2 linked regions of the Oreochromis niloticus genome follow. The protein of the gene in region 2 interacts with the protein of the main gene of each other region in a pairwise test. Links are inferred from orthologs where the notes say so. Each region holds a gene or a part of one and is shown on either strand. Other genes may lie near its edges.

What was found. The genes of interacting proteins can lie anywhere in the genome.
Region 1: the proteins of efemp2a (region 2) and nufip2 interact in binary tests that used the Homo sapiens proteins (3 or more experiments, as listed by UniProt). The two-hybrid records come from large-scale screens. The link is inferred for Oreochromis niloticus from reciprocal best matches to the Homo sapiens genes EFEMP2 and NUFIP2.

What each region holds. Positions count from the first base shown.
Region 1 is NC_031975.2:7,236,428-7,240,178, reverse strand, and holds the start of nufip2 (nuclear fragile X mental retardation-interacting protein 2), read right to left. Parts: upstream 2,223-3,751; 5' UTR 1,924-2,222; coding exon 1,776-1,923; intron 1,553-1,775; exon of another isoform or gene 186-1,552; intron 179-185; coding exon 1-178. UniProt on the Homo sapiens protein: Binds RNA.
Region 2 is NC_031966.2:20,257,849-20,261,599, forward strand, and holds the start of efemp2a (EGF-containing fibulin-like extracellular matrix protein 2a), read right to left. Parts: upstream 2,808-3,751; 5' UTR 2,607-2,807; intron 1-2,606. UniProt on the Homo sapiens protein: Plays a crucial role in elastic fiber formation in tissue, and in the formation of ultrastructural connections between elastic laminae and smooth muscle cells in the aorta, therefore participates in terminal differentiation and maturation of smooth muscle cell (SMC) and in the mechanical properties and wall integrity maintenance of the aorta.

The DNA of each region.
Region 1 (3,751 bases), on a different chromosome or scaffold from region 2:
CCTTTGATGCTTATTTTTGGAACAGTCGTGCACAGCTTTTGCGTGGATTTGGGCTTTGCATTTGTATTAATTGTATGTCTGTTAGCATTGATGCTAGGTGGATGCGACATGCCAACGGCATTAGACAGATGTGGATTCTTCTCTCCCTCCTCGTCACTGATGCTTACTTTTTTATTGCCTGAAAGGGGAAATAAAATCAGTTGATACTGAAATTAGGGAACATCCACCACCCTTCACCTGGCAGAAAACCTCCACAAGTACTACATTTACAGAAAGTCTGTGTCAAATAATCTGTTTCAAACTTGGAGAAACTACAAGGATTTTATAGATTTTTTGTGTGTGCGTGCACGCATGCTATCGCAATAGCAAAAAAGTGACTCACATGTATGCAACTCTTAACCTAAACAAATCCAAGTAAAAAAAGATGCATATTAAACTTTTAAATGTTTCTCTAGTATTACATGTAAACCACACCCATGGAGAACATGACTGATCTCCTTATTGGGTTTATAATTATTCTTATAGTGCTGCCTGAAATTAAACTTCCTAACAATCTTCCAAGATAAGCTGAGAGCTCACTACATGTAACAAGTTATAGAAATTAGATATGCTTCACAACTGTCAACAACGTAAAGGACTCTTGCTTAGCTTCCCCCACCCCAGAGAATATTCGACATCAGACACAAGTTGTTGCAAGGTCTGCAAGGATCGCTCACAACAGCATTTATGGCACACGCACAGAGGAGCAATAAACTATTAACAGGCCCGTGCACTGCACAGACGCATGGGAATTGCTGTGTCAACGTAGGACTTTTCATTCACAGTGGTGCTGCCTCAATGTCTGTGAGCGCAGCACCCAATGGATTCTATACGGTCTCTCCTCTCTTAGACGGAGGCCGGTTCTTACTCACTAGCAATCATACGAATGCATATAGTCTCGTAAAGACGATGCTTACAGTGTCAGCTCAGCGCCACAAAACAAGACATTGTCCAGTTGTTGCCTGGCTTCACAACACGCAACAGGCCTGTCAGTGATGGCTAGCTTTAGCTAATGTCAACTAACCAGCGGCTCGGTTGCCACCAACACGCCCAGGAACTGTCGTGCCCTATCAGCACCAACAACAACAACCACAGCAGCCAAAATGACAGCAGAGACATGCCAAAACAGCAAAGTATGTTGCCTGTACAACAATTTCTAACTAGCTGTGGAACTACAGCATTAGCCAGCAGTGATAGTCTAACATGGCTGACAGGAAATGGCAGCTCAGAACATTCCAGTGGAGCCGGCTCGGTTTTCCTAAGCTGGACATGAGCATGCCGAACAAAAAGACACAGCTTTGACTATTGTTGAGGATAACTTGCCGTGCACGCCTATCAAATAATGCGCTAAGAACACATGGCAACATGGCAGGGGTTCCTTGAGATGATTACGATGCATTTGCAAAAGAAAAATGGTTGGCGAAACCGGCGCACAAGGTCAATCCCCGATGTGTCAAACAACCACAGCGACAACTGTCACGCAACGTCAGCTAGCGAACTTGCTAACATAACGGTGAGCTCCTCGTCCGGCTATCCGTCAAAAAGGGCCAAGCTTTTCACCAGCTGAAACATTTACCAAATTATCTCAAGGAACCATATATAATATGAACCAATAGCTAGCAGGCTAAGTCCTCAATTGCGATTTAGTTCACATTAGTTAGCAAAAGCTAGTCAGCTCACTGACATTAGCTGACCAAGGCTAGCAAGCATTAGCTAACTTTTCGGGATGGCCCAACCTGTTTTCTTCGTCTGCGTTTCCTGATGCTGGCACTGGAAGTGGCTCTGATCATTTTTTAGACAAGTTGGCTGCTGAAAAGAGTGCCTGTCGTCTCCGTGGTGATGGTATTGCCTGTCTTGTGCCCGGTCTTTGGGCTGTTCCTCCATTGAAGTGAAGAATGTCGGACTTGTTCAACCAGTATGTTAGCTCACTCAAGTACAGGACAGTCCAATCACTACCAGAGTAAAACGGAAGCTATTTGAAGCCTCTGTAAACGTCAGCAGTAAACGTCTAAAAATGGCTCTGTTTTGGGTGGTCACCGCCACCACTCAAATCCATGTCTAGTTATTTGTGCTGAGTTATGCAGGGGAATATTTCTCAGCACTTTTTTTTCTGTCAGTGCTTGTATTTAATCGGATAACTGACAGAAGAATAACGAAGGAGCGATATTAAAACAAATCTTTTGGGGTGGGCGATACCGGGGTGGGGTTCGTGTGCGAACAAAAATCACATGACCGGAGGCGCTGCCACGTCTCAAGCCAGTGGACACATGTTGGTGATGGCGAGACCAACCCCTCTCCCAAAATGGAAAAAACAGACTCATTGCAAATTTATTAGCAATGCATTTGTGAGTGTTTAATCAGTACAGAACATTGTTCCTGTTTTCTGAACAAGCAACAAAATTACTCTAATAATCCTTGCGTATGCACAGAAATAAATAATATCAATTGGGTAGTTGGTGCAACGAAGCACGAAGTCAATGTATACTAGGGTTAGAAAAAGTAACATCCATTTAGTGCTTCCCATATTTGGCCCCTTATACATACGCGCGCGCGCACACACACACACACATATACAATTATATATCTATATCTATCTATCTATCTATCTATCTATCTATCTATATATATGTATATTCTGGTACATTTAAATCTGCTATTTGCTATTAAAGTGTAGAGAAACCGATTTGCTTCCCTGTTACTATATGTGCATATAACATATAAGCTAATTCATTATTCATTCTCGACTGACACACAGTGTAAAAAAGGTTTATGTGCTTTACTTTTGTGCACACTGGGGTCGGCACGGTGCAACATTGCTTATGCAGGACTTTAACGGACCAACAGCACCCTCTTGTGACTAAAAAAATACAAAGCCGTAGAGACTGTTTTGTTGGGGAAGTGAAGAACATTGATCATCTTCTTAGAGTGCAATGTTCTACTGTGAAACCGTGAGTCGTTAAATTGGCTTGCGCATTATTTTTCAGGCCCTTGTCACAATGCTGAGCCCCAACATACCTAAAAAATAATATAGCAGGAATAGTGACACTGTAAGAGTGTGAATATTATTTGGTATTTACTAGGTATTTTGCATAGTGTTGCAAAATCCTTTACCTCTGAATCTAATTTTGGGATTTAAAATCTTACTTAAAAAGTAGCATCAGTATGTACTTGAAATACCCAGTGTAAAAACGGGCCTTTTCTGTGATAATACACATTATTGAGTCATAGTTACTTATTAATCAGTGTGTATATTGTTTTTACTTAATATACTTCTGGGTAGCTAATTCTTTAACAACATAGCATCATATGTGTTTTATATTAATATGTGTGCTTTAAACAATTAGAGTACAAACACTAAAATACAGTGTTGTAGAAGAAGTAGCTTTTCATACAATTACATGAGTAATGTAGAAGTGCATACATTAAAATTAAACTTTGGCATAGTATTTGGGTAAATACCCCATAGGACACAATACTGGGCCTAAATAATGTACATTGGGGCGATCGTGGCTCAAAGAGTTGGCAGTTTGTCTTGTAACCGGAAGGTTGCCGGTTCGAGCCCCGGCTTGGACAGTCTCGGTTGTTGTGTCCTTGGGCAAGACACTTCACCTACTGCCTACTAGTGATGGCCAGAGGGGCCGATGGCGCGACATGGCAGTCTCGCTTCTGTCAGCCTGCCCCAGGACAGCTGTGGCTACAACTGTAGCTTGCC
Region 2 (3,751 bases):
ATTTACAGTCAGGGACAAAAGGCAAAGGAGTCAGTGATCAGCTTAAAGTCCCATTTAAAAATACACTTTCAGGTGACAGTTTTCCCATTTTGCTTTTATTTTACCTTCCTTACACTTTCTCCTTTTTTTCATTTTATAGCTTAACGTTGACGGTTACTTTAGCACCTCTTGCAGGCTTTTCCTATAGTAGAATATTTTTTGACACTGCTATATTGCTATTTTTACTTTAATACAGTGTTCTGTACCATGTAGTGTATTTTTAAGGTAAATATATATTGCATGGTTCGGTATTGATGGATTGGGCCTCTCTGGCAGCAATGACACAACCATCCTTCAGTTAATGTTCCTGAAAGAAGCTATAAGTGTTTAAGCTGAGCCTAAACATAAACAAGTTGCCCGTTCCATCTCCGCCAGACCGAAAAGACAGGAAAATTAAACAGACAAATTGAAGTAATAAAAAAATCCTAAGCAAGTGTTGTTTGCAAAGTGAGTGAGCTCCAGTTAAAATACAGGGAGGAAGGTTATAATCACTGCCTGTCTACGTGCATACACTCACGCTCTGATATAAACTCCCGAGGCCACATTTGCAGGCATTGCTTATTGTTTTATTTCAGGCTGAGACAAACAGAAGGCCGCAGGGTGACTTGGACACCCTGAAATACTCGAGGAATGACATCACCGTGACCTTTGAGTGGTGAAAAGCAGCAAAATATGCTCTCACACTGTAAGCTCAGACGGTAGCGCATACCACCGCGCAATCAGACGGCCGCAGTGCGTGATCTCTCTGAATTGGCCCAACAGTGACTTACAACCAGCAAGAATTTGACCCGAAACCACCCAAAAACAAACTGACCATCAGCCTGGGGTCCAGTCACTCACTGGCTACTCAGTGTGGGCAGCAAGGATGCATGGGTGTTTCCCTCCTGCTGCTGGAGATCAAGTGGCGGCGGACCTCTGGAATGCCCGTGGCAAGGATGTGGGCACCAGTTCTCAGCTGGGATGCCCTGCCACTGCAGTGGTTCCCAGAGTATCAGGTTCTGGGAAACCCCCCACAGTTCACATAAGAGGACAGCTGGTGCCAGACCTCCGGCCACCTCTTCCCTAACCTCCCATCCCTTTGGAGGATGTGTAGGAGGATGTCAGAGAATGCGGCTCTGATACAGAACTTCATTGTCTGCGTTCGACCACCACTGACAGGGAAAATACACCATTTGAATAACTGATGAGTCAATCCATAGAAAATGAATCAGGAGGCATTTTCATGACTCGCTTTCCAGCAAAAATGTGAAAGCAACTACACAAATATGCAGTTTCCCCTGCTTTTTTCTGTCAATACGAAAGTAACCCAAATATTCAGCAGGATATGATTATTAGTGAGGCAAAATGAGACATCTGAAGACGTCATCTTGGACTCTGGGAACTTGTGGTGGGCTTCTCTTTTATACAAGTGTACCATTTACTACCCCACAAAAATAAAAAATACAAAAAAGTAAATCATCGATACTTTATGAAGGCGCAATCTTAGTTTCATTTGGAGCTTGGCTCAGCTTCAGGACTGCTGGTTGACCCATTTTTAAATTCACACATTCAGAACAGCTTAACAAGCAAAATGTCAGGCGGCTTATATCAGTGACCACATGGAAACCAAAAAAAGACCAACAGCTGGACCACACACACACACACACACACAGTTTAGACTCCAGGATGGTCACTTGTTGTAGTGTATACACAAAGTTTGCGTCGCTGTGCTCGGCTGTGCGTGGAGCAGCCTGAGAACACGGTGACCCAGCGCGCTCCACCAGCTGCGCTCTGTTACAGTTGTGGCAGTGAACCTGCAAATCCACAACCAGGGAGTCTCCATCTCACACTCGGCCTGACTTCTGTTCCGGGAAGCTCCACAGGTAAAGACAGAAATAACGCCCTGTAGGAGAAACTCACTCACAAGGTAAAACATGTTCCTCCTGAACTCTAACGTGTGATGCTTTTGTGTTAGAGTTCAGAAAACTTTGACATGCTTGCTTTTTTCTAATCCCCACCTTAAAGTGGAAACATCTGCTTTTACCTGCAGGAAATTGATTGCACAAAAAGTGAAACAGCAGTTGTGCACTGTGAGGTCATCCAGGTTTAGAGAACTCTTCTACATGTTGGCACCTGTTTGTGTTTCAGATTTTGAGCTTCCCCCACCTAGAGACTAAACTGAGCTTGTGACACTGACGTTAAACGTTGTACAAGAGGGATGAGGCGGAAGGATTTTGCAATATTACAGTACGATAATATGTGCCCTGTGACTCACTGCCTCTCTTCCTGTCTAACCCCATATTACAGTCAGAGCCAAGAAGTAAACTACTCAGACAGAGTTAGCCACGTTATCTTGGCTCTCATAAGGAGCCAAGTGCAGCTGGGAGAGCAGAGCAGAGAGCAGGGCAGTGGTGCAAGTGTGACGTGTATGGCCTGTACTAGAAAAAGTGGGTAAGAGGTACATCTCACCTCCCTTACTTCTCCCTAAAATGCTAGCAAAACATAGTAAGTCATCCAGCAAGTCTCTCTTTAACAAACAGACATTCTTAGATATGTGTAAGAGGCTAAAGAAACACAGGAAAACTCACAGAGGAATCTTCTGTCTCTCAGTCTCCGTCTGACCAGTGTGTCCTCCTGCTGGCTGCGGTCGTCCCAGCCGAGTTGGCGTACAGAAGTGGTCCCTTAAACTCCTGCCTGTATGACCCTGAGAGAGAGAGTGAGTGGGGAGACCGACAGCTGGAGCAGCTGAGCACATGGAAAGGGAGGGAGAGAGAGAGAGCGAGTGAGCAAGACAGGCAGAGGCAAGAGAGAGAGAGAGAGAAAGGGAGGAGAGAGGAACAGCCCCCTTACCCCCCTCTGGCCCCCTGCACTGCCATCCTCCACTCCCCAAACCCCCTCTCCCTGACCCCCCAGGATGCAAATTCCTGGTCTGCGGCCCAAATACCGAAATTCCAAATCCGTCCAAATCGCAGGCACAACTCACAGATTCACACACACACATGCCCCCACATCTTTTCACCCTCTCACTGGTCCCACAACACACCTGGTTTCATTTAAACCAAACCCCTGCAAAATCCCCAAGCTCTCCCACCCATTCTTCCCTCCCTTTTCCCATTTACCCCCCATCTATCTATACTTACCTCCCCCATCTCTCACTCCCCTTTTTTCTTTTCCATAAAGCCACTAAAGCCTTCGCTCTCGTCCAATCTGACATGCAGGGATATTTATAGCCAGAGAGAGAGAAGTTAATGGAATGCGGACAAAAATTAGAGAGTGGAAGAGAGCGACAGACTGTGTGTGTGTGTGTGTGTACGTGTTTGGAAAATTTTTATTTTACAGAATGAACCAGCGGTGCTTTCTGGGACAAAGGACAGAAAATAAAGAAGTATCATAAGTCTTGACCCACGCAGCAACTCTTGCTCTTCTCGTGTTTGTGCGTGACTAATGCGTTACTGCGCTTGGAATCATTTCCAGCAGCATGTTGTCTTGCAAAATTTGTAGTCTGTGATGATGCAAACGGGTTAAGATGTTGCTTAACTCACATTAATACTCATTAGTTTCAGGCTCATTCAAATCTAATGGGCACAAATTCAGACTATCCTCAAAATGGGATCAACAGCAGCGGCAGCGCTAGTCTTAATTTTCCTTAAAAATATCTCATCACTTGCAGAATAGCTCCCTGCATTTTATTTTTAGACGGGAGGCGGTTTCTCCAGCTACCCTCCAGTGTTTG